Linked DNA regions of Oryzias latipes. The protein of the gene in region 3 purifies or fractionates together with the protein of the main gene of each other region. This does not show direct contact. Links are inferred from orthologs where the notes say so. Each region holds a gene or a part of one and is shown on either strand. Other genes may lie near its edges. The genes, in order: usp39, snrpd1, sf3b1, mcm5, snrpa, u2surp and dnajc8.

What was found.
Region 1: the proteins of sf3b1 (region 3) and usp39 purify together in Homo sapiens (co-immunoprecipitation; 3 studies listed by BioGRID and IntAct, with this or other methods). This does not show direct contact. The link is inferred for Oryzias latipes from reciprocal best matches to the Homo sapiens genes SF3B1 and USP39.
Region 2: the proteins of sf3b1 (region 3) and snrpd1 fractionate together in Homo sapiens (co-fractionation; 5 studies listed by BioGRID and IntAct, with this or other methods). This does not show direct contact. The link is inferred for Oryzias latipes from reciprocal best matches to the Homo sapiens genes SF3B1 and SNRPD1.
Region 4: the proteins of sf3b1 (region 3) and mcm5 purify together in Homo sapiens (affinity purification with mass spectrometry; 4 studies listed by BioGRID and IntAct, with this or other methods). This does not show direct contact. The link is inferred for Oryzias latipes from reciprocal best matches to the Homo sapiens genes SF3B1 and MCM5.
Region 5: the proteins of sf3b1 (region 3) and snrpa fractionate together in Homo sapiens (co-fractionation; 4 studies listed by BioGRID and IntAct, with this or other methods). This does not show direct contact. The link is inferred for Oryzias latipes from reciprocal best matches to the Homo sapiens genes SF3B1 and SNRPA.
Region 6: the proteins of sf3b1 (region 3) and u2surp purify together in Homo sapiens (affinity purification with mass spectrometry; 4 studies listed by BioGRID and IntAct, with this or other methods). This does not show direct contact. The link is inferred for Oryzias latipes from reciprocal best matches to the Homo sapiens genes SF3B1 and U2SURP.
Region 7: the proteins of sf3b1 (region 3) and dnajc8 purify together in Homo sapiens (co-immunoprecipitation; 4 studies listed by BioGRID and IntAct, with this or other methods). This does not show direct contact. The link is inferred for Oryzias latipes from reciprocal best matches to the Homo sapiens genes SF3B1 and DNAJC8.

The regions. Positions count from the first base shown.
Region 1 is NC_019867.2:12,332,727-12,337,025, forward strand, and holds the start of usp39 (U4/U6.U5 tri-snRNP-associated protein 2), read left to right. Parts: upstream 1-1,499; 5' UTR 1,500-1,614; coding exon 1,615-1,672; intron 1,673-1,983; coding exon 1,984-2,062; intron 2,063-2,138; coding exon 2,139-2,233; intron 2,234-2,320; coding exon 2,321-2,457; intron 2,458-2,988; coding exon 2,989-3,141; intron 3,142-3,226; coding exon 3,227-3,452; intron 3,453-4,047; coding exon 4,048-4,122; intron 4,123-4,297; coding exon 4,298-4,299. Other genes in the region: c9h2orf68 (UPF0561 protein C2orf68 homolog), read right to left, coding at 1-73, 153-268, 1,067-1,176.
Region 2 is NC_019869.2:22,965,507-22,969,438, reverse strand, and holds snrpd1 (small nuclear ribonucleoprotein Sm D1), read left to right. Parts: upstream 1-1,132; 5' UTR 1,133-1,264; coding exon 1,265-1,278; intron 1,279-2,682; coding exon 2,683-2,759; intron 2,760-2,834; coding exon 2,835-3,026; intron 3,027-3,232; coding exon 3,233-3,309; 3' UTR 3,310-3,881; downstream 3,882-3,932. UniProt on the Homo sapiens protein: Plays a role in pre-mRNA splicing as a core component of the spliceosomal U1, U2, U4 and U5 small nuclear ribonucleoproteins (snRNPs), the building blocks of the spliceosome.
Region 3 is NC_019879.2:181,879-186,053, reverse strand, and holds the start of sf3b1 (splicing factor 3B subunit 1), read left to right. Parts: upstream 1-1,375; 5' UTR 1,376-1,473; coding exon 1,474-1,501; intron 1,502-2,544; coding exon 2,545-2,717; intron 2,718-2,842; coding exon 2,843-2,944; intron 2,945-3,027; coding exon 3,028-3,142; intron 3,143-3,258; exon of another isoform or gene 3,259-4,175. Other genes in the region: ankrd44 (serine/threonine-protein phosphatase 6 regulatory ankyrin repeat subunit B), read right to left, coding at 512-538. UniProt on the Homo sapiens protein: Component of the 17S U2 SnRNP complex of the spliceosome, a large ribonucleoprotein complex that removes introns from transcribed pre-mRNAs.
Region 4 is NC_019866.2:21,038,135-21,042,196, forward strand, and holds the start of mcm5 (DNA replication licensing factor MCM5), read left to right. Parts: upstream 1-1,262; 5' UTR 1,263-1,416; coding exon 1,417-1,589; intron 1,590-1,764; coding exon 1,765-1,891; intron 1,892-1,972; coding exon 1,973-2,101; intron 2,102-2,175; coding exon 2,176-2,348; intron 2,349-2,423; coding exon 2,424-2,579; intron 2,580-2,655; coding exon 2,656-2,825; intron 2,826-2,911; coding exon 2,912-3,083; intron 3,084-3,173; coding exon 3,174-3,285; intron 3,286-3,359; coding exon 3,360-3,503; intron 3,504-3,570; coding exon 3,571-3,636; intron 3,637-3,705; coding exon 3,706-3,882; intron 3,883-3,963; coding exon 3,964-4,062. UniProt on the Homo sapiens protein: Acts as a component of the MCM2-7 complex (MCM complex) which is the replicative helicase essential for 'once per cell cycle' DNA replication initiation and elongation in eukaryotic cells.
Region 5 is NC_019871.2:13,958,484-13,962,527, forward strand, and holds snrpa (U1 small nuclear ribonucleoprotein A), read left to right. Parts: upstream 1-1,249; 5' UTR 1,250-1,331; intron 1,332-1,578; 5' UTR 1,579-1,586; coding exon 1,587-1,659; intron 1,660-1,774; coding exon 1,775-1,947; intron 1,948-2,293; coding exon 2,294-2,458; intron 2,459-2,703; coding exon 2,704-2,862; intron 2,863-2,959; coding exon 2,960-3,048; intron 3,049-3,138; coding exon 3,139-3,298; 3' UTR 3,299-3,309; intron 3,310-3,394; 3' UTR 3,395-3,544; downstream 3,545-4,044. Other genes in the region: c13h19orf54 (UPF0692 protein C19orf54 homolog), read right to left, coding at 1-125. UniProt on the Homo sapiens protein: Component of the spliceosomal U1 snRNP, which is essential for recognition of the pre-mRNA 5' splice-site and the subsequent assembly of the spliceosome. U1 snRNP is the first snRNP to interact with pre-mRNA.
Region 6 is NC_019878.2:19,058,137-19,062,425, reverse strand, and holds the start of u2surp (U2 snRNP-associated SURP motif-containing protein), read right to left. Parts: upstream 2,801-4,289; 5' UTR 2,782-2,800; coding exon 2,710-2,781; intron 1,982-2,709; coding exon 1,883-1,981; intron 1,786-1,882; coding exon 1,671-1,785; intron 1,384-1,670; coding exon 1,259-1,383; intron 1,166-1,258; coding exon 1,095-1,165; intron 989-1,094; coding exon 900-988; intron 756-899; coding exon 720-755; intron 610-719; coding exon 527-609; intron 408-526; coding exon 242-407; intron 158-241; coding exon 1-157.
Region 7 is NC_019869.2:6,659,773-6,663,879, forward strand, and holds the start of dnajc8 (dnaJ homolog subfamily C member 8), read left to right. Parts: upstream 1-1,307; 5' UTR 1,308-1,361; coding exon 1,362-1,430; intron 1,431-1,826; coding exon 1,827-1,928; intron 1,929-2,502; coding exon 2,503-2,559; intron 2,560-2,640; coding exon 2,641-2,707; intron 2,708-2,783; coding exon 2,784-2,878; intron 2,879-2,948; coding exon 2,949-3,020; intron 3,021-3,112; coding exon 3,113-3,204; intron 3,205-3,285; coding exon 3,286-3,361; intron 3,362-4,107. UniProt on the Homo sapiens protein: Suppresses polyglutamine (polyQ) aggregation of ATXN3 in neuronal cells.

The DNA.
Region 1 (4,299 bases), on a different chromosome or scaffold from region 3:
GTTTCAGTGTCTGTGCCCGACCCACTCTCATTCCACTCGTCAGCATCAGCGGCGGTTCCTGGCTCTGAACTATCTGGAAAGAACCAAAACAGAAACGCAAAAGTGTTACATTTCCTCTAAAAGCAGCAAAGTAAGAAATATGTCAGTCTTACGTCTCCGTCGAGGATGGTACACCTGGATGTCAGGTCGCCGAGGCTTTTTGGGGGTTGTGGTGCGCCTGTGCCGCTGAAGCTCTTTGGCTTGCTTCACTTCTTTATCATAGTCATCTCTTATAAAGAAATTGAAATATTTTCTGATTATTTCTTAAAAACATAGCAAGTTGCACAGTTGAATAAAACACAGAGCATCTTGGTCATGGCCATGAACTTAAAAATGTTCCTAGGTCTGTTTACACATTGGAGGATAATACTTTTTTTAAAATTTTATTATTTTAAGGCAAAACAGCTTTGTTTTTCATACATCAAAGCAATTTAAAGAGCCGCACAACAAAGCAACATTATTATTGCTGTTCTTTTAGCTTTATAGTTCATCTTTCAAAGTTGCCTAAATAAAATCAACATGTTAAAAATCCGTTTTAAATGATTAAATAAAGAGTGAGAGTGTGGGAATTAAAACAAACTTTTTTGTTTGGACGTAAATCAAAATACTTATCATACATTATTGTAGCAGCTTTTTTTAAGACCAGACAGAGAGCAGATGCTGTAAAACAGCCCAACTCAGCGTATGTAATTTATCAAGGAGGAACTTTAAAAGTTTTACACACCAAACCTAAGTTTATATAATAATCCACTTTTAAATAATAAATTACACTAATAAAACATAAACCGAATAACTTAATGCTCCTTTTAAAATTTCAGTCAGTCCAATAGGGTTTTGCTTCTACTGCTTTAAAGTAAAAATAAACTTGACTTTAAGCCTTTTAGGTACTTTAAAAAAATGTTATTTCACTGTCTGCCATTTTTAAAAAAATCATTTCACATCAATCATGAAATGACAGCAGCTACAGATTGACATTTGACATCCCAAGTAAGTATGCTAACTCGGCTAACAGCAAAAAGGAAATCACCTGGCAATCTGGTTCCTCCGAATATGATGAAGGAAACCGTGGCTCATGTCCAGACGGCCCCCCGGTTTGTACTTCAGCTCATGCACTCCTTCATCTCTTATAAGATCCATTTCAGCAAACACTCTAGAAAGAAAACACAGCTAAAGAAGAACAAGCAAAATACTAACAAAAAGCTAGACAGCTAACGATGTATAAATGGATGTCCAACCGTAGCGTTCCCGGAGTTTCTACAAATTAATTTATTGCGTGTAAGTCCTACAATGCACATTGAACTAAAATATAAACTATTTTGGTTATATTTCTGTGACAAAAAAAGAAACTGAAGTATACAAATAAATAAAATATATTACTTAGAGTTTACATGGGGGTAAACATTTATTTTTTAAACTCCGGGTTACGTTTTGGTTTCCCACGCCATTACCACCGACGTACAACCACCGCGAGTTTCGAGGAGCTGAATAATATCCATTCATTTCCTCTCGTAAACCTTCAAGTTTTGTTAATTTTTGTTTCGTTAGCAAACCGTTTGCTAACTTATAGTTACAAGAATGTCTTTAAAGCGTGAAAGGGAGGAAATAGAAGACGACGAGGATAACGAAGACGAAGGTATGCTGATTTGTCTCTTACGTCCGTTTTTCGTTTTGTTAGCCAGCCAGAAGAGCATTTTCTAGCATAAAAAGTTTATATTGTGTCAGTTCCATTCTACACCAATAAACTGATGGTTTCACATGTAAGACAAAGACAATCAGCATATAAAAATATATGTAAAACCTGTTTATTTTAAAACAGAGATCGATTAATAGAAAAATCTTAGCTTGCTAGCAAGCATGTTTTGATTGCTAGTAGTTAGTTGTTCTCGTAAAAATGAATTCCGTTTACGTCTACTGAGCTTTATCGTGATTTGCTCTCTTTTGCAGTGACAGTCAAATTTAGGCGAGGACGTGTGGTTGAAGACCGAAGAAGCCGCCATTGTCCTTACCTGGACACCATAAACAGGCAAGGAAATGTTTGAAAATGTATGCTAAAGCTAGTTAGCATTCTTCTTGTAATTCAGTTTCTTCTCGTCTTGCAGGAGTGTTCTGGATTTTGACTTTGAGAAGCTCTGCTCCATTTCTCTGTCTCACATTAATGTTTATGCCTGTCTTATTTGTGGGAAATACTTTCAAGGTAGACATATTAGCACATCAAACGCACATTGTTATTTTCCTTTTTAGATGACACTAAACATCTTTACGTTTGCATTCCTTGTTGCAGGCAGAGGTCAGAAGTCTCATGCCTACACTCACAGTGTCCAGTTTTCTCACCATGTGTTCCTCAACTTGCACACACTCAAGTTTTACTGTCTGCCAGACAACTATGAGATCATTGACTCATCGCTAGAAGACATCACAGTAAGTAATGCAGTAAATCTGCTGTTTTTCAATGTATAAATGAAAAGGTAATTGCTCTGGGGGGAAAAGTAAACAGTTACATGTTAAAATTAAACAAAGTTTTTTGTTTTTCTTCTAGATATGATTGATAGATTCTTTTGCTCACATTCCTTGTTTGTCAGTGTAACACTTCAATAGTTTTCATTAACATATTCTGTGTTTAAAAATAGTTTTAACTTGTGAACCCAGAGTACATAAAAATGTGTTCGATATTTATATATTTTATACAAGGCCAATGTATTTGATTGCATAGTATATTTTATTTACTATATTTTGCACATAAGTATCAGTACTAGTATCTAAAAATAAGTTATTTAGCAATGTCTTAAAGTATACTTTTTAGAGTTTTGGCTGTAATTTTAATACGTCTTTTTTTTTTACATTTCTTTTTTAAATTTTTAATGTTTTATGTTAAGTAATTTTTACCCCTCCTTTTTTTATTTTTTGTAAGCTCTTGCTTTGTGTTGGTAATCTTGCTCTTTTTTTCTTTAGTATGTGCTGAAGCCGACTTTCACCAAGCAGCACATTGAGGGTCTGGACAAACATGGTAAACTGTACAGAGCCTACGATGGTACAACCTACCTGCCAGGGATTGTAGGGCTTAATAACATTAAAGCCAACGACTATGCCAATGCTGTACTACAGGTATGAAACCCCGCTGATGTTGATTTTTGAGGCTGTGGCATCAACTTAAATAACAGGGGGTTTCATATTGTACTTTTGTTTTTAGGCTTTTTCCAACGTCCCACCTTTGCGAAACTACTTCCTTGAGGAGGAGAACTACAGAGACATCCGGAGGCCACCAGGGGACATCATGTTTCTGCTGGTGCAGCGGTTTGGGGAGCTGATGCGCAAACTTTGGAATCCGAGAAACTTCAAGGCCCACGTGTCGCCCCACGAGATGCTGCAGGCTGTAGTCCTGTGCAGCAAGAAAAACTTCCAAATCACCAAACAAGGTAACTATTTTGTGGCCTGTGGAGTGCTGACATAAATAGGGCCATGTAGGCTGAGATTTTGGGCAAAAACCTCATTCCATCAATGAGAGCACTAAAGATGAAACATGGCTGGATCTTCCAACATGACTGATCCCAAAAACATAACTCTGGCATCAAAGAGAATCTGTGGAGGGAGTTTAAAGTATGTTTCTCAGCAAAAGCCTCAAAACATTACAGCTCTGCATGGAAGAATGGTCCAGAATAATAGCTATAGTGTTTGTAAACCTGCTTAAGACCTATGTTTGACCTTTGTCATAGATAATCATGGTTACATTACAAACTATTGAGGTGAACTTTTGTTGTTGACCAAATTCTTATTTTCTGCACTATTATACAAATACATTCTCTAAAAATCTGACAATGTGATTTCCTGGATAATTTATTGGACATTTTATCTCTCAGTTGAAGTATATCTATGGTAAACATTACAGACCAAACTCAGCTTTTTGAGCGGGACAACTTGCAGAGTCAGTGGCTGCCAAATACTTTTTTGCCCCACAATCTTTAACTCACTGGATAAGTTTGTAGAGTTTGCTCAATGTTTTCTGGTTTGCAGGTGATGCTGTGGACTTCATGACATGGTTCCTAAACGCCATGCATGGCGCTCTTGGAGGCACAAAGAAGAAGCCATGTGAGTCAGAAATTCACTCCTAGTTTATAGTAAATCTGTTGAATTTCTGAATTCATTTATTTGATGTGTAATTTTCTCTTTTATTCCAATGTAAGGAGTCTATTTTAGAGCCAGTGCTGGTTGTCTGCATGCAATGTCCTTCAATTTAACTGGTCTGCTCTTTGTTTTCACACAGCA
Region 2 (3,932 bases), on a different chromosome or scaffold from region 3:
TTTTCAGCATTTTCACGTTTGGACTGATGGTGAATGTTGTGGTGGCATTTGTTCTCCACACTGTTTGATTAAATCCTCCCTCCACAAATACCTTCTTTTTTCTTTTTTTTTAAATACAACAATTTGCACTTTCTTTAGGTTTCACTTGATACATTCCCAGCTTGTCTCAATAAATAAAAAGTATTGCTGTTTGGCCAAAACTCTAAATGAAATATCAATGCAAAGTTTACTCTCAATAAAAAGATCTGAAAGTTTGCTCCTTTGTTCTTTTTGTCTTCTTTCCTAGATCAATGGTTCCCAGCTTTTTGTGTATTTTGTAAGGATGTAAAGGATACAGTTACGTATTGAAAATTGATCAAGTACTGGAAGTAACAGCTCTATCAATCGATAACCTTAAATACGAGCAAGTTGGTGAAAAGGTAAAAAAATGAAATCAATCAGGAAGTAAATCGTTATTTTTTTTTCTTTTCTGTCTTTACTGTCTTTGCCTTTTTATGTACATGTGATGCCAACATGAAGACACCCAATCACAAAGCCTACTTCTACCAAATCGGGTCAATTATGATTGGCTGAATGTGAACCACAGTGTGCTGTGTTCTCTTTTTTCACGGTACTGCAAACAATGCCTGAATAAATTCCTATGACAATTTTTTGATCATAAATAAAAACAGAACAGTATTCGTAGTTGAAGCAGTTCTCTCAGAGATGTTTTGTTTTTGTTGCTTCAAAAAAAGGGCCAATAAGAACAAAATTTAAGAAAAAAGTTTCTCTGTTAAATGGCATTTCCATTAATAATTTTAAATGCCAAATACATAAATAGAAATCTATGAATAAATGACTGGTACTTTATTTTTTAGCACCATACAATGGCATCAGGGTGCCAAAGGGCTTACATTAACATAACATTTAAAATTGAGTAGATTGAGAGGGGAAAAAAACAGCATTAGATGGAAAAAACAATAAAACACATAGAAAAACAGTTAATAATTAAAGTAATTGGTAAGTAATTAAATAAAGACAGTAAAGGAATATTAGATGCCACCAACCCAATGAGTAAGAGAAAACAACTCATTTTTGTCTTTCCACTGACTGTTCTTCATCTCACCACCAGGCGGCGGTAAGACAACATTGACGGTGAGCGGTGGCCTCTTTCTGACGTCATATCAACGCGACACAAACGTTGGTGGTACATCAGCGGCCTGTGATTTCACTCGATCGCTGTAATTTTTCTCGTCGGTGGAGGATCTTTTCTCTACTGTTCGTCATGAAACTAGTCAGGTAATTTGCTGCATGGTCTGTAGATGTGTCGACTGGTTTAAGATAGGATGATGAAATAAAGGCTGTGTGGCCGGATGGGTTCAGATAGACAAATGAACTGTGTGGAGAGGCGGGAACAAGGCTGCTGGGTTTTCATTCAAAAAATACATATAAACATATCATTAGAGCTAACTATTTAATCAAGGATTAAACTGCTTGTTTTAGCAATATTTGTAAAAGATCGAGGCTGATTCGTTATCATTTATGGTTTTGCAAATTTCCCCCCGCATTATTAAAACTATCGTACTAAAGGAGGTTAATTTATTAGATGTTGTTTCCGTTTCCTCAAAGTGCTTTATCATTATTTAATTGTATTTATTTTTGGATGTTTTTAATTTCCACAACTTAAGAGACAAATGTTTTGTTTTCAGTTTACACAACAGTATCAATCCACCGAAGCTAACAAGCTAAGAGCTAACACGAGTTTTGTTTAGATACTAAAAAAAAAATACATTCAAAAAGGGGGGGGGGGGTATTTTGTACAATTTTATACGTTAAATCTTATGTGTTGTACAAAAATGCTGTCTAATGTTTGTGAGAGAGAGACGTCTTCTTTGTGCAAAGCAGTAAGTTGGCTAATTGATCATTCAAGATGGATCTAGTCATTAAAGTCTTCTACAGCAATGGTGCCAACCTTCTAATAAAGCGGTTTTTTATTGTATTTAATTTATCAAAATATTTTTATGATTAACAGAAAACGTTACCAACAATTATTTCTAACAAAAAGTCCGCATAAATGTTCATACAAAACATTAAAAAATGTGAATCTGAAAATGGAGTTTAAAGTCTTCCATTTTATCCAGTATGTATGGGATCAAATGCAGTTTTTGTATGAAATGGTGCATATCACAGTATGTTTATTTCCCTCGTTTTTTTTATGTTTGACATTTTGTTTATTTCATTTGTATTTTGTGAATATGAACAGACATAAAAATGATGCTTTTAATTTGTTAAAGTCCACCAATCAATTATTGATTAACATTTTCCTGTTCTAGTTCTGCTTAAAGGTCAGCATGTTATTAGTGTATTTTTTTTCATGGTATTGTCACTTTAAAACATTGACGTTTAAATGAAAGTGCCTTTTGGATTCAGAAAACCAAAATGAATGTGCCAATTCTAGGTTTTTGAAAAATACACTTTTGAGTAAGAATAAAACACGTGAACCTTTTTTGTTTCATGTGGGATGACAATAAATCATGTTTTTTTTTTTTTTGCGAAAATGATTCTTTCCCTGAAGTGTAGATACATTATACTGGTACTGCTTTTTGATTACAAAATGGTATGTTTGGTAAAGTATAGTGCAGTAAAACAACTCTTAAAGGTTAAGTAAATGTAAATGTATGCTACTCTCCCGTGTCCACACAGGTTTTTGATGAAGCTCAGTCATGAGACCGTTACCATTGAACTGAAGAATGGCACTCAGGTCCATGGCACCATCACAGGTGAGAGCAAACACTTTAGAGACGAATAAATGAACTAAATCATTTTTAAAATCCTCTTCTTCTTCTTTTTAATAGGTGTTGATGTAAGCATGAACACACACTTGAAGGCGGTGAAAATGACCCTAAAGAACAGGGAACCCACTCAGCTGGAGTCCCTGAGTATCCGAGGCAACAACATTCGCTACTTCATCCTGCCAGACAGTCTTCCACTGGACACCTTGCTGGTCGACATTGAACCAAAGATCAAGTCCAAGAAGAGAGAAGCAGGTGGGAGATTTGGGCACATTCTTACCTGGAAAATTGTATTAAGTTGAGAAGGATTTTTCTGCGATAAGAAATCCCTCAACAGTATTTATATTCATCATGGGTGTGTAAATCTGCTGTTTATTTCTTTGAGAAATGTTTTGTTCTGCTGATTAAAACTTTTTTTTTTCACGAGTATGGTGAAAGAATCTGGCCTTTCTTGTTCTCAGTTGCTGGTAGGGGGCGAGGCAGAGGACGGGGCCGTGGCAGAGGAAGAGGACGAGGGCGAGGTGGACCACGGAGATGATTTCAGAGCCCCAACTGTTTGTACAGCTTTTAATTGTACTGCGCGGTGGACGCAAAGTGAATCTAAGTGTAAGTTTAGGGTTGTTTTTCTTTTTTATACTCGTGGGTTGTTTAAGACCGCGAGGGGGTTTTGGATGCTGTTGATTCATAATTTGTACCATCTTGAATAAAATGTCTGAGCAGCATTTAAACTGGGTAAAAATGTCATCTGTTTTTTGCTTTTTTTATACCTTCTTGTGTCTTTGGCAAAGTTGGCTGAAAATGTAGCTGTTCTACTGGCATCAAAGAAGAATAAATCTTTTTTTTTCTCTTTGTAATATTTGGCTCTTTAATTGGCTTGATTAGTTTTCACTTTTCCTATAAGTGATTGAAATAGGTTGATAAGGTTTTTTTTCACAGTTTCTGGAACTGATTACATCTCAACTTATTGTTGATGATGTTCCAGATACTGCTGATCCACCTCTGGTGGATGGTGTGGATGTTGATGACTGCAAATGTAAAAACCTTTTGTCCAATACTTAGATGGGCTGGCTCTTAACCCACATAAGTTTCCAATAAAATAAAGAAAATCCACTTTGAATTTTGACATCATTGTAAAAACTTATGTTTGTTATTGAAGATCTC
Region 3 (4,175 bases):
TCCTGAAGAACTGTGACGTCATCAGGTACCCCAGCAGAGCACCTTCATGTGCCACTGAGCTTTTCTGAGGACAGCTGCCGTCTTTGATCCAACACCTGGATGCAGGTGAGGGGAGGAGCCAGGATGTCACCTGCAGCATTCCTCACATTTCAGACCTGCTGTCAGTAACATCTGCGGTTATCAGTAGTGATGATGACACAAACACTGAAGTGAGACACTGGAGGTTTTCCTCTATTTCTGCTTCTGCCTGTTTCCCCCGCAGTTCTGGTTCTGGTTCTGGTTTAGTTCTAGCCCACAGACCCGTTTTTATCAGATGAATCAATGAAGAAAAGGTTCCGCTTGAAATGAGCGGTGAAAACCTTCCGAGCTGAACTTTTTTCTGCGGAAGTTCTTCTTCTCCGTCTGCGCCGCGGTCCGTCCCCTCAGAGGCGGAACCGAGCTCCGCTTTGACCCGGGCGGGATGCTGAGCGGCGCCTCGGAGGCTAAGCTAACGGTGGCTAGCGCACCCTACCTGATCGGCCAGCTTGAGGACCGCCATCTCTGGGTCAGCCGCTGCGACCTGCACGGAGCGATGCTGCGCGGCAAGCGTCCGCCTGGACCGGGGCTGCAGCGGCGTCTACGAGGCTCGTGGGTAACCGGTGCTTGCTGTTGTGAGGAAGGCCGTGCCGGGCTCCACGGCCATCAGCCCTGCTCCACGGACGCTATCCGCGGCGCCGCTAGAACGCGGCGGCCGCGCAGAGTCAAAGGGAGGCGGGACAGGTCTGAGCCGCCGCCGCAAACAACCCGCATCTACGGCTGCCGCTGGTCGGAGATGCCGCGCGGCTCTGGGAGCTTTACGGAGCACGCGGAAGCCTCCGTCCGCCCTGGGTGCAGTGAAGGGATCTGGGGAGACAGCGGGCTGAAGGCAGAGCGCACAGGAAGTGGCAGCGTCCGCCTGTCAGATTCAGAAGTGGAGCTTCCTCAGCAGCATCACCGGCCGCGCGGGTTGCCGCTCGCTGCCGCCCCTAGCGGCCACGCGCGGGGCGCCGCTCGCTGCTGCCCCTAGCGGCCACGCGCGGGGCGCCGCTCGCGGCTGCCCCTAGCGGCCACGCGTGATGAGCCGCTGAGGGGGCAGTGAGCGTAAACATGAATAAAGTTAAGTTAAAAAATTATATACAATAATAGAGAAAAATACATACTTATAATCATTATTCAACAAGGTGAATAATGATAATTATAATACTTATTATTATTGTTGCTGTTTTTTATAGGCTGTTTGCACAGTGGGTTGAGAGGAAAGAAATTTCATCTGTGCTGTAGATCTTGTAAAATTCAGTACATTTAAAAATAAAGCTGACTTAATATAATAATAATAATAATAATAATAATAATAATAATAATAATAATAATAACGTTTCTCTGTCGTGCTGGCTAAAAGAGGCGGAAGAAGAGGTGACGCACTTCCGGTGTCAGTCTCGAACAACCACCGTCAAGATGGCGAAGATCGCCAAAACACACGAAGGTAAAATATCACGAAAACCTGTGAATACGTTGTGTGTGGCCCTCTCTTCAGCTCTTTTGCTTTTTTAAATAATGTATGCGTTTTGTGGTGTCAAATGTTTTTTGAAGTTGTGCTTTGTGGCCGACAAAAACATAAAAAACGAGGCGGCCTGTGACGACGCAACGCGGACATTTTACATAATGGCGCCGGTTGCTAGCAAGCGAGCTGAAGCCTCACACAGCACCTTTGCTACCGTGAAATAGTTCACGTTACTGCGCTAAGCCGTTGAGTTCTGTGTATATTGGTATTTTATTTGTTAGTTTGTTATCTGCAGTTGTTTGGTTTTCTTTGTCCTGTAGATTAGCATATTTAACGCGAACACGCAGCGTGACCAACTTCGCCGTGCTATTTGCACAAAATGTTTTTGCAGTGCAAATGAACGATTTTGCAGTGCAAAACGGTTTTGTGTGAATCTTTGTGGTTCTTCTGTGGCAAAGAACCGATCATCCTATCGAAACCAGTCTGCGGTGTTTTGGGTGCAAACCTGGCCGTTTAGTTCACGAAGAACCGCGGGATGAATGTCAGCAACGTGCGTTTGTAACAAAAGCCCAATCTTTCGTTTAACGTGTGATCAGCAATGGGCGCGTGCTGGAGCGATCAGGCTCAGCTTTTGGTGTGTAAACAAAAGACCAGGCTGGAGCTGCTGTTCAGGATTGATTCATCATTAAGCGAGAAAACTGTTCAGGAGCGCGCTTGTTGCATGAAATTACATTTACAAATTTAGCCGATTTCAATTAAAAAGTCAATCAAAAAACTCAAAAGTCCCCCCCCCCCGTTTATTATGCGACTTAAGATCATTTTTCTACAGCTTTGCTATTTGTAACTAATGAAGTTGACTAAAAAAAGTGTCATTAATTGTTGACATTGAAGCTTTCCATAACTTGTTGTGGTTTTTTATTTTTACGAAAAACCCACATGGCCACAAATCCAGTTTTAACAATAAAATATTGTTGAAAAATGTAATGTATATTCATTCCCACATGTATTTTTACTTGGGTGCTTAGATATTGAGGCGCAGATCCTGGAGATCCAGGGGATGAAGGCCTCCCTGAAAGAGGATGCAGGTCAGGGAGTGGGCCTGGACTCCACTGGCTTTTACGACCAGGAGATCTATGGAGGCAGCGACGGTCGTTTTGTGGGATATGTCACTTCCATTGCAGCCAATGAGCAGGAAGATGTAAGTAAAGATGTTTTACCTGCAGTTTTCAGTCTGCTCCCACCGTGCTTGTCTTGTGTGAGCTAGGAGAGTCTTGCCGCTTTGGCGAGATTTGACTAGACTCTTGTTTCTCTTTCTGTCTTTAGGATGATGAAGATGACACATCGACAAGTTTGTTGGGACAGAAGAAGCCAGGCTACCATGCACCAGTGGCAATGCTCAACTCCATTCCCCAGTCAGATGAACATGTATGTGTTCCTTAACATGACAGGAGGTGCACCTTCTTTCCAGGACTTTGGATCAGAGCCTCATTTCTGTCTCCATTTTGCAGTACGACCCATTCGCAGAGCATCGCGCGCCGAAAATCGCAGATCGGGAAGATGAATACAAAGCTCGTCGCAGACAGATGATCATTTCGCCTGAGCGCCTTGACCCCTTTGCAGACGGTAAATGTCACCCTTTTTTATCCTGCCTCGATGCCTCAGTTTCACTTCTTTGTTCTGTTTCTGTGTTTTTCGTGGTTCTTATGACTCTTCCAAGAAAGCCAGTGGCTTCATCCAGGTAGATTTTCTGTTCAACCCTTCGACCACAGTGTAGTAGACTGAAACCTTCCTTTGTTAAACCCACTGTCAGTGTAAGAGGGTTTGAACAGGCATGGGTCGAAGGGTTAACAACCCCACAGTGGACAGCATGTGAGGGTAAACGGCGTGCACGGGGGCGCAGTCGACCACCCTCCTGAGTCTGAACCCTCAACGGGGCATTTGCTCAGCAGCACCTTCTTACTTTTGTAAGACGTGCTTTGAGAAAACATTGCTTTAAATTTGCCCCTTTAAAGTCTGACTTGCCCCGTTTCCGGACATCCAGGTGTCCTGTGGTAATTCAGGCGTTCAAGCTGGACAAGCAGAGTCTGTTCTGAACTGCTCCAGCTTTCAGGGTGAGCTTCTGCAGCGCCCGTGAATGCTGCTGTAAGCCGCTCACGGTAACGCCTCGCTGCCGCCGACCGGCCCGGGGCCGTCAGGTGTGCTTAGGCCGCGTCAAACCTGCATGTGAAGGCAGTTCTTTGTTCAAAGTTGTTTTGCAAATATATACTTTTATTTTACAAGTCTGTAAAATAGAAAAATGTGATCAAGAAACGTTGTGTACACCAATACCACAGGCCCATACTAACTGTCCTTAATTTCTCTCCTACAGCAGTACTGCTTTGCCAGTCCTGTACTGCACTCTGTTAAGGGTGCAGCAACTCATCCTGTGTAGGTTATGGGGGACACTGTGCACTTGTCAGTTTGGTCAGGGTCCACGGGCTGCTTGTTTGGGGGGCTGTGAGGGGAATCAGCGCAGCTACAGCAAACCTCCACCCCCAGCAGCCTCTTTGATTTGGTTCTTCAGAGACCAAGCATTTATTTAAAGCCTTTGACTACATGTCTTCATGTTGATGTTGAAAAAGAAGTCAAAGACCTGAGAGTACAGACTGAGCAGTGC
Region 4 (4,062 bases), on a different chromosome or scaffold from region 3:
TTCTTACAAAGCCGTTCCTTCATTACCCGGGCAGTGTGTTTGGGATTGGTAAATGGTAAATGGCGTATACTTATATAGCCCTTTTCTACCTTCTTCAAGGCCCAAAGCGCTTTACAGTCACAGACCCATTCACCCAGTCACACACGCATTCACACACTGGTGGCGGCTCTGCTGCTGAAAACTGGCACCAACCTCCCACCAAAGGCAAGGTGGGATTCAGTGTCTTGCCCAAGGTCACTTTGACTGACCATACATGGCCCCATTCATTCTTTCCTTTACACAAATCTGTCGTCCTGGTCCCTTTGCTGAAAAGCAGCCCCAAACATCATGTTTCCACCCCCATGCTTTAGAGTAGGTATGGTGTTCTTTGGATGCAACTCTGCATTCTTTCTCCTCCGAACCGACGAGTAGAGTTCTATCAAAAAGTTCTATTTTGGTTTCATCTGAACATAGGACATTCTCCCAATCCTCTTCTGGATCATCCAAATGCTCTCTAGCAAACTTTGGATGGGCCTGCACATGTACTGGCTTTATCAGAGGGACACGTCTGGCACTGCAGGGTTTGAGTCCCTGGCGTTGTAGTGTGTTTTTGATGGTAGCCTTTGTTACTTTGGCCCCAGCTCTCTGCAGGTCATTCACCAGGTCCCTCATGTGGTTCTGGGATTTTTGCTCACGGGGGAGCCCACGGGGGAGATCTTCTGGGGAGTCATAGATGTCATTTTGTCTCTCATAGTTGATGTATACCTATGATGAAAATTACAGGCCTCTCTCATCTCCAGTGGGAGAACTTGCACAAGGCTGACTAAATACTTTTTTGCCCCACTGAACATATTCAGATCTTATTTTGAAGCAGAACAAAGACAAAAGAGGTGCTAGAAGGCTGAAGCGTCATCCATCAGCAGCTGTAATGTTTTCCTATTAGGTTAACACATTTCACATTTAAGTTGCCTTATCATTGATAAAAATGTAACTTTATGTGGAAAAAGTTGCTTTAATTAACTCAAAATAAACTGTGCTTGCATGGGTTTCACTGTCTCACTTCAAATTCTACATCTAGGAGAAAATGTGTCATTAGGTTTCTCTAAGCTCGTGGCCCTTCTTTGTTATTTTGCTTTTCTGCTGTCGCCATGCTTCAGAAGCTCCTCCTCTTCTGTTTTTCGCGCCATCGCGACTCAGCGCCCCGCCTTCAGCTGAAGAGTTCGCCCATATCTACATGTTCGACAAATAAAGAAAAGCTATGTTTGAACCTGACCAATCAGAGTCTAGGAAAGGGGCGGAACTAGCAGAGAACCCGCGGGAAACAGAAAGGAAGACGCTTCAGTTTTTCCCGCGAAACGTCGTCACAAAGTCGGGTCCTTCCTGTCTGTTTGGCTCCAGAAAAGCACAACTTTTGGTGTCAGCTTCAGCCGCTTCAGCATGTCTGGCTTTGACGACCCCGGCGTTTACTACAGCGACAGCTTCGGCGGGGGAGAGGGACCCGGCGGGGACGAAGGTGGACAGAAGCGGGTCCAGATCAAGAAGCGGTTCCGAGAGTTCCTGCGTCAGTTCAGAGAGGGAACTGACCAAACCGGGTTCACTTACAAATACAGGTCAGGCTCCTTATGAACTCAAAGCGGTTCTCAAATCTGCATCTACTTTCAAAGTAAACGATAAGTGAAGTGGTGCTATATCACGAGGCAGTTGCATTATGGGAAATGTAGTTATATGATTAAAACATCTGCTTTAGAAGCTCAAAAGTCCTGATTGTCTCCTGTTGTTCCGCAGAGATGAGCTGAAGCGACATTACACTTTGGGGGAGTTCTGGTTGGAGGTGGAGGTGGAGGATCTTGCCAGCTTTGATGAAGATCTGTCTGACTGCCTTTACAAACTTCCTACTGAGAACCTGCCGTTGGTGAGTATCCTAGTTCACATTTTTATGCGGTCATGAAAGTCTGACTCACGACTAATGTATAGATAAAACGTATCTCTTAAGCTGGAGGAAGCAGCTAAGGAGGTGGCCGATGAGGTGACCCGACCCCGACCTGTGGGGGAGGAGGCGGTGCAGGACATCCAGGTCATGTTGAAGAGCGATGCCCACCACACATCCATCCGGAACCTGAAGGTACCTTAGGACCCTGCTGTGCCCGACGTTGCAGTCATTCCACACATGGATCACCTTTCTGTGTGTCTTTCCAGTCGGAGCAAGTGTCCCGTCTGGTGAAGGTCCACGGCATCATCATTTCTGCCACAGCAGTCAAGGCGAAGGCCACCAAGGTGTGCCTGCAGTGCCGCGGTTGCCGCAGCGTCATCCCCAACATCCCCCTGCCTCCGGGCCTGCAGGGTTACGCTCTGCCCAGAAAATGCAACAGGTGAGGAATCGCATTCCGGTCTCAGGTTGACCCTGCTAGACGACTCAGCCTCAAAACGACCTTCTGTGTTTTCAGCGAGAATGCTGGCAGAGTGAAGTGTCCCATGGATCCATACTTCATCATCCCGGACCGCTGCGTGTGCGTGGACTTCCAGACGCTCCGCCTGCAGGAGTCTCCCGATGCTGTGCCGCACGGAGAGATGCCGCGCCACCTGCAGCTCTACTGCGACAGGTAGCCATGGAGATCACCGGAGTCTGCTGCTCCGTTGCTTTTGCGGCACGCCACTGAGGTTTTCCTCCGTCCCCAGGTACCTGTGTGACCGCGTGGTCCCGGGCAACCGAGTGACCATCATGGGCATCTACTCTATCAAAAAAATGGCTGCTGTAAAGGCCAAAGGCAAAGAAAAGGGTATCGGCGTGGGAATTCGTTCATCTTACCTGCGAGTCGTTGGCATCCAGGTGGACACGGAAGGAGCAGGTAAAGATCCCGATGACAGGGTTGGTTGTGAGAAGCACATTGTTAGGTTTGGGGGGTCATTTTATCTTCTTGTTTCTTGGCTGCAGGCCGCGGCGCCACCGGACCCGTCTCTGCACAGGAGGAAGAAGAGCTGAGAGCGTTGTCTACCTCTCCCAACATCTACAGCTCCCTGGCGCAGTCCCTCGCTCCCTCCATCTATGGCAGCGACGATCTGAAGAAGGCCATCACCTGTCTGCTGTTTGGAGGCTCGAGAAAGAGGTACGGCGATAGAACGGTTTATTTCTTCATTTTTGTTGCTGCTGCAACGATGTTGTTTTGAAGCTAAGAGTCTGTTCTTGTGTCTGTTAGGTTACCTGACGGTCTCACGCGCAGAGGAGACATCAACCTGCTGATGCTTGGAGACCCTGGAACAGCCAAATCCCAGCTGCTTAAGTTTGTGGAGAGATGCTCACCGATCGGGGTATTTGTTTGTGTTTTTTTTTTTTTTTAATTATCCGGAGGGAAAAAAGTTCTGATGCTGACTCTCACTTGCAGGTTTATACATCAGGTAAGGGCAGCAGTGCAGCTGGGCTGACCGCCTCCGTGCTGAGAGACCCCAGCACTCGTGGATTCATCATGGAGGGAGGGGCTATGGTGCTGGCGGATGGTGGTGTCGTTTGCATTGATGAGTTTGATAAGGTAGGTCCAGGGTGAGCTGGGGGGCAGCATCGGGGTTGCTCGTCCTTCAGGCTGTTTTTCTCCTCAGATGAGAGAAGACGACAGAGTGGCGATCCACGAGGCCATGGAGCAGCAGACCATCTCCATCGCTAAGGTAACCGCCTTAAGTTTGACCTCCTTATTGGGCTTCATTGGAAAAATGCTAATAGTCTGCGGCCTTTAGGCTGGAATCACCACCACCCTGAACTCCCGCTGCTCCGTGCTGGCGGCGGCCAACTCTGTGTATGGCCGCTGGGACGACACCAAAGGCGAGGACAACATCGACTTCATGCCCACCATCCTGTCCCGCTTCGACATGATCTTCATCATCAAGGACCACCACGACCAGCAGCGAGACATGGTGAGAGGACGCGACGGGAGGTTTGATGCTTCAATTCTCTTTAGTGCTTCCGCTGACTTTGCCGCCTGACTCTGCTCGCAGACGCTGGCTCGCCACGTGATGAACGTCCACCTGAGTGCGCAGACGCAGACGGAAGGAGTCGAGGGCGAGATTCCTCTCGCCACCTTTAAGAAATACATC
Region 5 (4,044 bases), on a different chromosome or scaffold from region 3:
CTGCTGTTATTTGCTATGATCTGGTACAGTTTCTTCGGTGGTGCTGAAGTTGGTGGAGGAGGAGGCGGACAAGCAGCCAGTGGAGGAGGTGGAGGAGGTGATGACAAGCTGCAGTCCACCGGCATAGTCTCAAAATCTTTCTACTCTGTCTGATCAAAACCAGCTCTGTTGGGGGGAAAAATGTACCTCCATTGATTTCTTTAATAACCACCAGGGAGAAAGTTAAGTACCATTAAAGTCTAACATGGGGCTCAATAACTGCTTACCTTTCACTTCGAGTCGTTTGCACACAATCTAAAAAGCTCGATGTTTACCTAAACATGTCAACCTTTGGACGAAAAAGATTTGACATATTCTTGCACGTGGTAAACAAACTTTTCGATTTAACTAGCTAACAAGCTAGTAGCTAACGCAGCTCCGTGCTCATATTTGGACATACTCGCTCTTCTTCGTGTGTGCGATCGCTCTGTACTCAACTGTTACACCACCCTCCAGTGAGTGATGATGATCATTCCATCACTAGTCATCTACAGTTTAACACACCATTTACACACATACCGTACAATGTATTTGGAAATAAAGTTGAAGGCACAAAGTTAGTGACAAGTCAATCCACAGTCAGTGTGTAACAGGACAAGCGAAGTTTTTTTCGCTTGTGTCTCTGGGTTTTTTTCTTTTTCTTTTACAGATTTTTGACATTTTCTTTTAATCTTTCCTGTCAAGATACGATACCACACTGATAGGACGATTAAAATATCTTGCTAACGCAAATACTGAAACAAATTTCGTTTTTGACCATTGACTGAAAAGGACCGCAAATACACTGGCTTTATTTCTATTTTTTATTCTTGTTTTATTTATGTATTTATTTTTACTGTTACTGTATTGTTACTTAGTTTTTCCCTCTGTGATTGCTTTAATTGTATATTATTGAACAAGATTCGTTTTAACAATCGATATTGCTTATAATTTTGTTCTTAATAGTTTTCACAAGGTTAGAGTGAGGTGGAGGACGATGATTCGCTGTGGCGACCCCTGATGGGAAAAGCCGAAAGAGAAAGAAGAAGTTTTTTACAAGGTTAAAAAGATTTTTTTATTTATTCAGAACGTAATTGTATTCTTTATATTTTACTGTTATAAATGTTGCATTTTTGTATTATATTCTGCAAATGTTCAATAAAAAAGAGAAGGACCGGAAATCACGTGCAAGTTGGATTTATCGCGAGCAGATGATACGGAAATTGTAAAGGCAGGTTTTTCATTCACCCATCGAAGTGAGCGTTCCTTTCGCGCCGAGCGGTGGTGGGTTTTTTGTTAAAACTGATACTCAGGTGCGGTTATCCGGTGTTTTTTCTCTTTTATAAAACCAAATGTCATAAGGTTACAGATAGTTCGATTAAATTAATCATTTATTGCTGATTTGTCTCAGTTTATACCGAGTTTTAAGCTTTATGCTAGTAATGCCTGCATGCATTCAGGGTTGTTTGCTAGCGCTAGCTGTTAGCCTGCTAACTAGTTGATAGCATTCAATTCATTTTATGTGACATGCTTTGTTCTTTTCCAAACAACTCTTCGTAGATTTTAAGATGACCACTCCAGAAGTACGACCCAATCACACCATATATATCAACAACTTGAACGAAAAAATTAAGAAAGATGGTAAGTTTTTTAACTTCTGGCCTTTCTTTGCTTTTTTGGTCGAAAGAACGATGTGGTGATAAATGATGTTAATTCAGATCCACCACAGCTTTTTATTTTCCTCTGTCTTTATTAGAACTGAAGAAGTCACTGTACGCCATCTTCTCGCAATTCGGTCAAATTTTGGACATCCTCGTCGCACGAACCCTGAAGATGAAGGGTCAGGCCTTTGTTATCTTCAAAGAGATCAACAGCGCCTCAAATGCACTGAGGTCCATGCAGGGGTTCCCTTTCTATGATAAACCCATGGTAAGTTAAACGTTGTTTTAATTTCCTCCATGGTTTTAAATTTACAAATATCGTCCTGTAAAATGTTAAAACTCAAATCAATCTTAGTTTTCAATATTCCTCTCTGCTGTCATGTGTTGTATAGTTTGTGAAATGTTTCAATTCCACAGTGTGCATCAAATGAAGGATTGATCTTTGTAAACTTAGAAGTGCTCAGTGTGAGAGGATCACTGAACACTTAACACTGAACACTTTTTAATGGTTATTAAAAATACATTTAAATAACTAGTAGGTATAATGGATTTTTTCTTTTTTTTAAGCACACTTGGTATAGTAATGCCACATATTTAAACGTGTCTTACTGCAGCGCATTCAGTATTCCAAAACAGACTCGGACATCATAGCAAAAATGAAAGGAACCTATGTGGAACGTGAGCGCAAAAAGGAGAAGAGGAAGCCCAAGCCTGAAGGAACAGGAGCTAAGAAAGCTGCTGCTGCAGCCATGATGGCTGGTGTGCCTACTGCTATGCCTGTAAGTGGGAACGTTTACTGTGACCAGAATGACATGGCAGCTCTTACTCGGACAAGTTAAAAGTGGAAAAATACTGTCTGCAAACTTGCTAAGTTTACCATAGCGATAGGTTGTTTGGAGATTTTAAGCTAAAATAACAGCAATTGATGGAGAAAAAGTTTGGTTTAAAAACCCCACAGAACATAATATCAACCTAGCAAACATTTAGAGGACCATGAACATGTTTACAATGTGTCATTCTCTAGGGAATGCCTCCTATGAGCCAAGCTCCCCGTATGATGCATATTCCAGGCCAGCCGGCCTACATGCCTCCTCCAGGCATGATGCCTCCCCCAGGAATGGCGCCTGGCCAGATCCCCCCAGGTGCAATGGGTCAGATGATGCCTGGCCAAATGCCTCAGCAGGTAATGATTTTTGTCCCCCTGTTCTTTACATGTTTAACCAAAGATGAACATTCCAGGTTTTGTTTCTTTTTTGTCAAACATTTGCCTTCTCTTACAGGTTGCAGAAAATCCACCGAATCACATCCTCTTCCTCACCAACCTGCCAGAGGAGACGAACGAGCTGATGCTCTCCATGCTCTTTAACCAGTCAGTATTGACTTGATAATTGTTTTATGCTTTGACTTTCTTTTCTGCCCAACATATCAAAGACTGACCGTGACCGTTTTCTGCGTTTAGGTTCCCTGGCTTTAAAGAGGTGCGTCTGGTCCCTGGTCGCCATGACATCGCCTTTGTGGAGTTTGATAATGAGGTTCAGGCTGGAGCTGCACGAGATTCACTACAGGGATTCAAAATCACACAGACTCATGCAATGAAGATCTCATTTGCCAAGAAATAATGCCAACACAGGTTGAAATTTGTAATTTGTTTTTTTCCTTTTTAAGTGGTGGAAGTAAAAGGCGTTTTTTTAATAAAATATTTGTTTTTTTCCCAGATTACATGTAAGTATGCTTTTTCTAAGTCACTTTGACATGACTTTAGTTTTAAAAAGTTTGAAAGCATTGCACCCAGTGTCTGACTTGTCAGACATTGTACCTGGAGCTTGGTATTTGTTGTTTTGTATTAAAGTAATTAGATTACTTGATTGATTTTCATTATTTCTTGTTTATGGATTTTTTTTTGGTCATCTAAAACTTGTATTTACTCCATCCTTCTCAGACTGGCACCTACACAGCTTCCTGCAAGGGGTGTAACAATTAATCAATGTATCGATTTATCCAACCGGATCTGAGGCAAGTTCGTAATTAACCTATAGCATTATAAAATCCTTTCAAAATAATATGAATGAATGATAATCGATCTCGGAAAATACTAGTTGAACTGAGACATGATCGTGTTTTTTTTTGTTTTTTTTTACCATAACTATTAGTAATGAATTGTTGTTTACTTGTTTTGTACACATTTATTTACACTAAATTATCTTGCAAGAAATCCAAGTAATCTGGTAAACGTCACTTTCACTGCACAGCACCCTGGTATTTATTATGAGATGCATGGAGTTGTCCTGGATTGATTTTAGGTCATAGGATCATTCAAAGTACACATATCTACTATGAATCTTGTCGGCAACCACAAACTGAGCCG
Region 6 (4,289 bases), on a different chromosome or scaffold from region 3:
TTTAGCCTCTCTCGGGGCTGTGCATTGAAGGGAAGGCCGGAGGGAGGCGGCGGTAGAGTGTGCTCCATCATAGAGGGAGGGATGTAGATGGGATGGGGTGGAATGGGAACACCTTTGCCCCATCCTAATTTCATCTCAAAGTTCATGATCATCTTTCCTGTAAATTGAGAAGAAATAAAGGATTAGAAAAACTTTAAACACAACTCAATTCAAAAGTTAGTTCATTAGCACCCTGATGTACCATTGAGGTGTTTGAGTGCTCGCTCAGCATCCCTCCTGTTCATAAAAGCCACAAAGCCACAGTTCCGCTCCCGAGCTCTCTCCTCATCTGTCCGTGGCCACATGATCTTCACACTGGCCAGAGGGCCGTAGCGACCAAACTCTTGACACAACATTTCTTCATTCATCTAAAAAACAGAATAGTCAAAAAAGAGAAATTTACTCTTCATTTGCTGGAAGATTTTCATGACAAAAACTTGTTTTTAAATAAGCAAAGGGTCCCCTCTCTGTTATCTGGATGACCTACCTGTGGGTTGATGTTTCCAAGATACAGGTTCGTTGTGGATGGGTCTCCTACATCGTGGGAACCTGGTGCACAGTCATCCAAAACTGCAGACACAAAGGAGAGAAAAGAATGTCCTGTTGCTGTCCGACGGCACAAATCTGACTTTCTGAGCAAGCTGCACATATTCACGGCCTTTATATTAAATCAAAATTACCACTGGACGGACGGTTTCTTCTTGAAGAACCATCCGCTAAAAGAAGCAGAAAAGCAGTGTAAATTTTGTTTCTGGGTGAGAGTGGATAAAGGGGTAGCAGGTGAGGTCAAGCGTGCGGGACAGGGCCTTTCAGACCAAGTTAGTACGCCAAAGACTTGAACAGAGCGCAAAAAGACTCACATGAACGTCTTCCCTCCATGCCAGCGAGGGGCTCAAAACGACTAACACGGCCTTTCAACTTGTGTCTTTCATCCCTTTCCTCTTGAATCCTGCCATGAATGCAAACAGTGTTAGTTTTTAAGTACGATTATCTAAGGCCAGACAATCAAAACAATATCTTTTGAACAATCCCAAAATGTTCATATTGAAACATACTGTTTAAGTTCTTCCTTGAAGAGTTCCAGGTTACTCTTCTTCTTTTCCTTTTCGGTATTTTTCTTAACAGTCTAAAATTCAAATAAATACATACTATGAGAAAACAGAAGCAAAGGGGGATACAACAATTAAAAACGCACATGACTGACTTTAGTAAAACCTACTTGTTTTCTGTCAAATGCTAAAAATTGGGGTGGGGTCTCCAAAGGCAAGATGCTTTTTGTTTGGGCGTCAAAACGGGACTTGGGCTTGTATAACTTTCCTTTTTTCTCATCAGCGGCTGCTTCTTCTAGAAAGATATTGAAAAAAAAAGATCCAACTCAATCTATTAGAATATACATAAGAATATATATATATGAATACTGTACCAGAAATATGACGACAACTGTCAATTAAACAAATAAAGTGATTTATATGGTAAAGTACAAGACACATTTTAAGAAAATTACTAGTAAAATAAAACAAAAATTTACAAGTTTGTATTTGTTTGCAACAAACGTTGTAATAAGCATAAAATAAATGTTTAAACACTAACAAGTGTGTTTTACTCTCCACAGTGATGATCAAAAACTGTACCTTTTGTTGCATTTGCGATACCACCACGGACAAATGCCTTAACTTTCCCCTCTCCTCCACCTTCGAATGCAGCAAGAAATTCCTCATAAATCTCTGCTGCTGCCCGCTCATCCTCCTGAGTTGAAAAATAAGACATTTTAAAGGAAAATTTCTAAACAGATTCACTTCTCATATAACATTTTATTAGAGCATGAAATGAGAATAATGCTTGCCTTTTTCTTTAGTTCATCTTGTTCCTTTTTGCTTAAGGTCCTTTTTGCTACTGCCATCTTGCCAATGCTAAAAGATTTCAGTTTGCTCTCAAGCAGCGCCTGCACATCATGTCAAAGAAAAAAAAAAGTTGGCTTTCAATTTGCATTTTCTAACCACTAATACAAAAGATTTTATGGCATAAGAGCATCCAAATAATACCAAACAGTCAATGTGTTCTATTTTGGTTACACTTTTTTTAAATGTCAAAATAATAAAGCAGGTAAACTTAAGTTTAAACAGACAGCTCCGTTTCAAATATGGGCATTTAAGAATTTAACCTTAGTTTTGCTCAGTTCAACATTTCAGTTTGAAGTGACTATTTAGTGGATTTAAAAACGACATTTCTGAGAGGCCCGAAGAATGTGTGTGGACTGGAGCGCGACTGAATATATGATCTACGCGGCAAGTAGCTGCTCCCGCAAGCTACCGTTGACGTACAATCAGCGCTAAAAAGACAAAACATTACACCGTTTAGATGTTTAAGCCAAAAGTTTGTAACCTAAACTGTTATATTTACTATATTTACATTAGTTACTGTACTAACTATGTTTATTCTCTTGTCAACAGCTAACCGAGTCTAGCTAAAAGTGGCTAGTTTGTTAGCTTAGCTTAGCTCAATGAAGTCAGTAAGGCTGCTGCACGTTTGCGCGGCGGTACGTCTGAAACTTATCTTTCTTGGAGTCACGCTCTGTTACTATATGTTTTAATCAAAGTACTCTCTCATTTAAATCATTTTTACTGTGACAGACACTTCTAAATGGGTACAAAAACAAAGTGAAAATGTCACCTTAGCGCTAGCTTTTTGAGAGCCAGGCGTTCGGTCCGCCATCTTTTGTGGAACTAAAATAAAATCGATCATCGAATCAATGATATGTGTGTATAAAGCAGAAACTTCAGGGCGTATAATCGATCACCGAGTCACTGTTTTTTGTTTTTGACATTTTGAAACATCTTTAAGATGTTTCAAAATGTCGAGGAATGTTTAATCATTAAAGAACATGTAGAAAAAAAGACCTTAAAAGCTTTAATGTTATTTAATGGGGAAAAAAAGCACATCACAAAAATCCAAAAACCGACCCCAAAGGTTGTCTAAATGTGTGACAGGACCTGAAAAAAGAGCAAAAAAGATTACACATTTTGCAAAAAGTCCATAAAAGTTCAACTAAATCAACAATTCCAAATGTGAACGGTATAAATGTGTTTTTAAAAAAGTGTTTTAAATTTGCAAAATAATAACCCACTTGCTAGGCAGTACATTTTTTCTAATGTAATAGAAAAATATGTTAGACTTGTGAAAAAAAACATTTAATTTTAAATACAGTTATGTGTTAGAAATAAAAAGAATTAATGTAATATTTTTTTCATACGTCATGAGCGGAGTGACGCTCACTTCCGTATTCCTCACGCCTATGGAAGCGATTATGTAGCATAAATAAAAAGCAAAGTCAAAACAAGAAATGCTTTTTCATTTTCAAAATGAAGCTGCATTTTTTGACTCAAAAATATAATAAAAAAGCAATCCACCAAAATGCTTTTTCATTTCCTTCCTCAACACAGCTTATTCTGTCACTTAATTAAAATTAAAATTAAAATGGTATTTGACATTTCATTTTCAAACAGTTCCATGGTAAATGTGTAGCATAATTCATTTAGAAATGTCTAATTTGACCATTAAAATGGATTAATAGAAATGCTTTTTAATTTTCAAAATGAAGCTGCATTTTTTGACTCAAAATTAAAAAGAAAAAGCAATATTTCAAAATGCTTTTTCATTTCCTTCCTCAATACAGCTTATTCTGTCACTTAATTAAAATGATAAATAAAATGGTATTTGACATTTCATTTTCAAAAAGGTCCCTGGTAAATGTGTACCAAAAATCATTTAGAAATGTCTCATTTGACAATTAAAATGGATTAACAGAAATGCTTTTTAATTTTCAAAATGAAGCTGCATTTTTTGACTCAAAATTAAAAAGAAAAAGCAATATTTCAAAATGCTTTTTCATTTTATACCTAAAACCGCTCATTCTGTGTCATAATTCAAACGAAAATGCAAAGAGGGGATTGCATTTGCATTTTAACATCCACCCCGCGCAAGTTGTCACAATATTCAATTCGAAAAAGCATTAGCAGAGGGGAGGCGGGGCGATGACGTCACTGCTTTCTCCGTGTGTCCGGCCGCTGACTGACGCACACACGCGCACCAGGAGCAGACTGTGTTAGCGGCAGAGACGAGGGTTTTGTGATGGTTGTGAACTTCTGATGAGTTTCCACAGCTTCTCAGGACTAAGTAGCTGCATGTCCGCCTTCTGCGGTCCTCCTCCTGACGCACCGCGGACAAGCTTTGTTCTTCGGACCGCCAGCTGC
Region 7 (4,107 bases), on a different chromosome or scaffold from region 3:
CCTCTCGTCACCAGGCAGTAAAGGAGCTGCCCGCATCCATGTGAATGAGTTTACAGATTCGGAAGAGACTTTTTGGTAAGACTGTTCATTATCACATGATTTAGGAAATATGAGCATGTTTGTTAACAAAGTCCTCTCTTATAATCTATAAGTAGTTGAGTCAAAAGGGGGCCTAACCTGAAAGCAGTACAGCAAACCGTAGTGGTCATGCTTTTAGTTTGAAAATCCTGCTGATGATGCCTGGATGCATTTTGAACAAAGTGTTGGGTTGTTTCTGTCTTGTTTGGCTCTTCTGTAGTTCAGGGTCTTAAAATGGATCTCCACCAGGTACCCTTGTAGGATTTCACACCTCACCTGAGCTCGGCGGCCTCCTGTCCAGATCACAGGTGAGAAAAACAGTGTTTTACTCATTCATTTTTTTTTCCTACCCTTTAATCCCTTTCGGGGTCACGGGGCTGCCGGAGCCTATCCCGGCCACTTGTGGGCGAAGGCGGGGGACACCCTGGACAGTTCGCCAGTCTGTCGCAGGGCCACAAACCACACACCCATTCACTCTCACACTCACACCCAGGGACGATTTAGAGTTGCCAATTGACATATGAAGCATGTTTTCGGACAGTGGGAGGACGCTGGAGAGAACGCACGCATGCACAGGGAGAACATGAAAACTCCACACAGAAAGGTCCCCCATTGGTGTTCTGGTTCAGACCCCCCAGCCGGAAAAAAGAAAACACTTTTTACTAGCTGGTTATTATCACTATACATTTGGGTTTTTCTGCCCGTCTGTCACCTGTAAACGGGTGATCTGTGGACTAATTGTTCTCATGTGATTACTATAACAAATGTGTAATTTAAAACATGTTTTTTTTTTTTTTACATTGTCATCAGAATAAATAAGTGCAAACAAAAAACTGGCGTTTGTGTGTTTTATGTTATTAAAACTGACCTAAAGAATACATCTTTACAGGAGGTATAACAATACATTAATTTTAAAGGTAAATTAGGTTCACGTTTTTTAAATCCTTCAACTATGGTCTGTAAAGCGCAGTTAGGAGCGTTCGACTTGATTATAATTGGTTTAAAATTGATTTCAGTTGAGTCATTTATTTTGAAATTTCCTGCTTTAATTTGTAGTATTAAAACGGGATTTATCGTTGAGAACTGTATCAAATAAGAACTCAAGCAAACTGAAGGTTTTTGGATTATCATAAATACTCCGTTATAGGTCCATCGATCCGTCTCCTTACATTGTCAATGTGTGTAAATAGTTTGTTTGGTATTTTTCTGCGCAAAGTCCCATTTAAAGAAAGCGAGGCTGTGTGGCGGTCACGTGACAGTACGTCACAGTAGCCGGGCTTAAAATGGCGGCGGCCGAAGGAGAGTCCTCTCACAGTGTGTCAGATGAATTATTTCAGAACTTTTACACGGAGGTATGACGGAATCCTGGTTCACGCGTGTTTTCCGAGCCCTCCGGGTGGACCGGAACAGCCCGCTGTCGTTTGCTAGTCCGCGGGTTTCTCCAGCGCCACAAACGAGGCCTCGCGGGCTGCAGCAGGCAGCAGCTAGCTGCAGGAAGCTAACCGTTTACTCTCATTTTCTGGAAACTTCTGCAGATTATCCAGACTTTTTCTGTTCACAAATGTATTTCCACAGGATTTATTTTTTTGTGCTGCAGTTTTTCAAACACGCCTCTTTCGCGGCTCTGCCTTTAGTTCCCGCGCAGATCAGAAATCCAGAGATTCATTCATTAAAAAGCGGCGTGTTGTGGGTAGTAAACAACGCGGTGATCTTTGTCTGTGGCTCAGTGGAGTTGTGTATCTTAACAGGTGAAACAGATAGAGAAGAGAGACTCTGTGTTGACCTCAAAGCAGCAGATTGACAGACTCCTCAGACCCGGATCCTCCTACTTCAACCTCAACCCCTTTGAGGTAAACAGCGCGCGCGCTTTTGTTGTTTTATTTATATCCAAATAAGCATCCACTCCGGTCAAAGGCGGATGGGGGACCTAAACAGTGAAATAGCTTTCATTAGAAGCAAGAAAAAAACAAATAATGTTTGTTTTAAAATTAAATTAACATTTGAAATGGAAAAATAAGTATGAACATGATCTTGTTTATGTTTGCATCAATAGCAAAGCTTTTATTGTGTAAAATAATTATGGGATTTGACTTTTTTTTTTTTGCGCAGTTAGAGCTTTGATATTTCATTTATATATAATATATAATAAATAAAGTTACAGATTCAGTCCAGTAAGATTTCTGACTCTTAATAGAATTACTAAGATAAGATATACAGGAGTTCAGTAAATAAACACAGTTGGATTCATTTTGAAACCACAAAAGTCTAATAATGTGGATTCATCTTGTCCCAAGTGTGTTTTTAAATAAAAAGATCTACAGATGTTTTTGTTTTTTAAGAAATGTTAATAGTTTTTTCAAGTCAATGCCATTAAGTGTTTTTATGCGTTTGGATCCTTGTGTTAAAGGTTTGTTTTGCTTTCAGGTTTTACAGATTGATCCAGAGGCAACAGACGATGAACTAAAGAAGAGATTCAGAGCAGTAAGGAAACGATTCCTATGTTTGAATTTCCCTTAAAACATTTATTTCTTATTTTAAATCTTTGTCTGTTCAATTCTGCAGTTGTCCATATTAGTCCATCCTGACAAAAATCAGGATGATCCTGACAGATCGCAGAAAGCTTTTGAAGGTAAAACTCTTATCATTTAACTTTTTTTTTTGTGCCTAAAAAGCAGCAAAATATTTAACCTGAGGTTGTTTTCCAGCTGTGGACAAAGCTTACAAGCTCCTACTCGATCCAGAACAGAAGAAAAGAGCTTTAGATGTGATCGAGGCCGGAAAAGAATATGTGGAACATAATGTGAGTTCTTCTGTTTGTGAGGAATTCAACTGAAAAATCCCGGTTCGTGACCGTTTCTGTCCTCAAACAGGTAAAGGAGAAGAAGAAGCAGCTGAAGAAAGACGGGAAATGTCAAGATGTGGAGGAGGACGACCCGGAAATGGTAACGACAATTCCTTTAAATGTTGGGAAAAAGGTTTGTTGGAATCACACACGTTGCACTGAGTGATGGGTATTTTTTTTCCCTCTCACCAGTTTAAACAGGCAGTGTACAAACAGACAATGAAGTTGTTTGCAGAGCTGGAGATCAAGAGGAAGGAGAGGGAAGCGAAGGACATGCATGAGCGGTAAACGCATCACGGCTCTCAGAGCAGACCTTTGTGTCCGTTTGGCGTCTCGTCTGTAACGCGGCGGACTCTCCTCACCAGGAAACGAGCTCGAGAGGAAGAGATCGAGGCGGCGGAGAAGGCGAAGCGGGACAGAGAATGGCAGAAAAACTTTGAGGTTTGTGTGCTTCCCTGCATCTGGAACATGTCATTTCTAACGTCAAAAACAATCCTGTGAACTGAAAATGACTCCAGAGGATCAACCGAGAGGAAAAATGTCACGAGACGCTAGAAAAAGCAAGAGAGAAGCATTTTTATGAGGAAGTTTTTTAATTCTGAAGTGTTGAACAAAGCTTTGACTTGTAGGATAGCACGGCTCATCGGCGCCCCCTGCAGTCACAGTCTAAAATCCTCCTCATCAGTGTTTTCCCAACCTTCAGGTTTAATGTCAGACAATATATTTGGCCTTAGTTGGTGTTTAATTCTAAAGTTGTTGATTTGTAGATGTTTGGTTTTTTTAATTAGTAAAAAAATAAAAAATCTAATAAAGGCGATATAAATGTTTTTTTTTTGTTTTAACAATGGAAACTCTATTCAGGCTCAGATACTTTCAGGGGGAAAGATGAATCTTTTTGATTATTAAATCCTGATTCCTCGTATTTTCTGTACTGTTCTGTACTTTAAAGTGCGGCCTAGTTTAGCTTTGCTGTAGGGAAAATCTTTAACATTCTTTTTTTTAATCAGAAACTTTTCGTCATTCTTTGTCAAGTATTTGCCTCTGTTTTCTTTGGATTTTCTATGGGATCCGTTAAAATCATGTTGATTTTCCTCCAAGTGAAAGCTAACAATCAGACGCCAACTTCAGCCTCGTGCAACGGATAAATACTACAAAATAAAGTTACATAGTCAAAAAAGTAGCTTTTT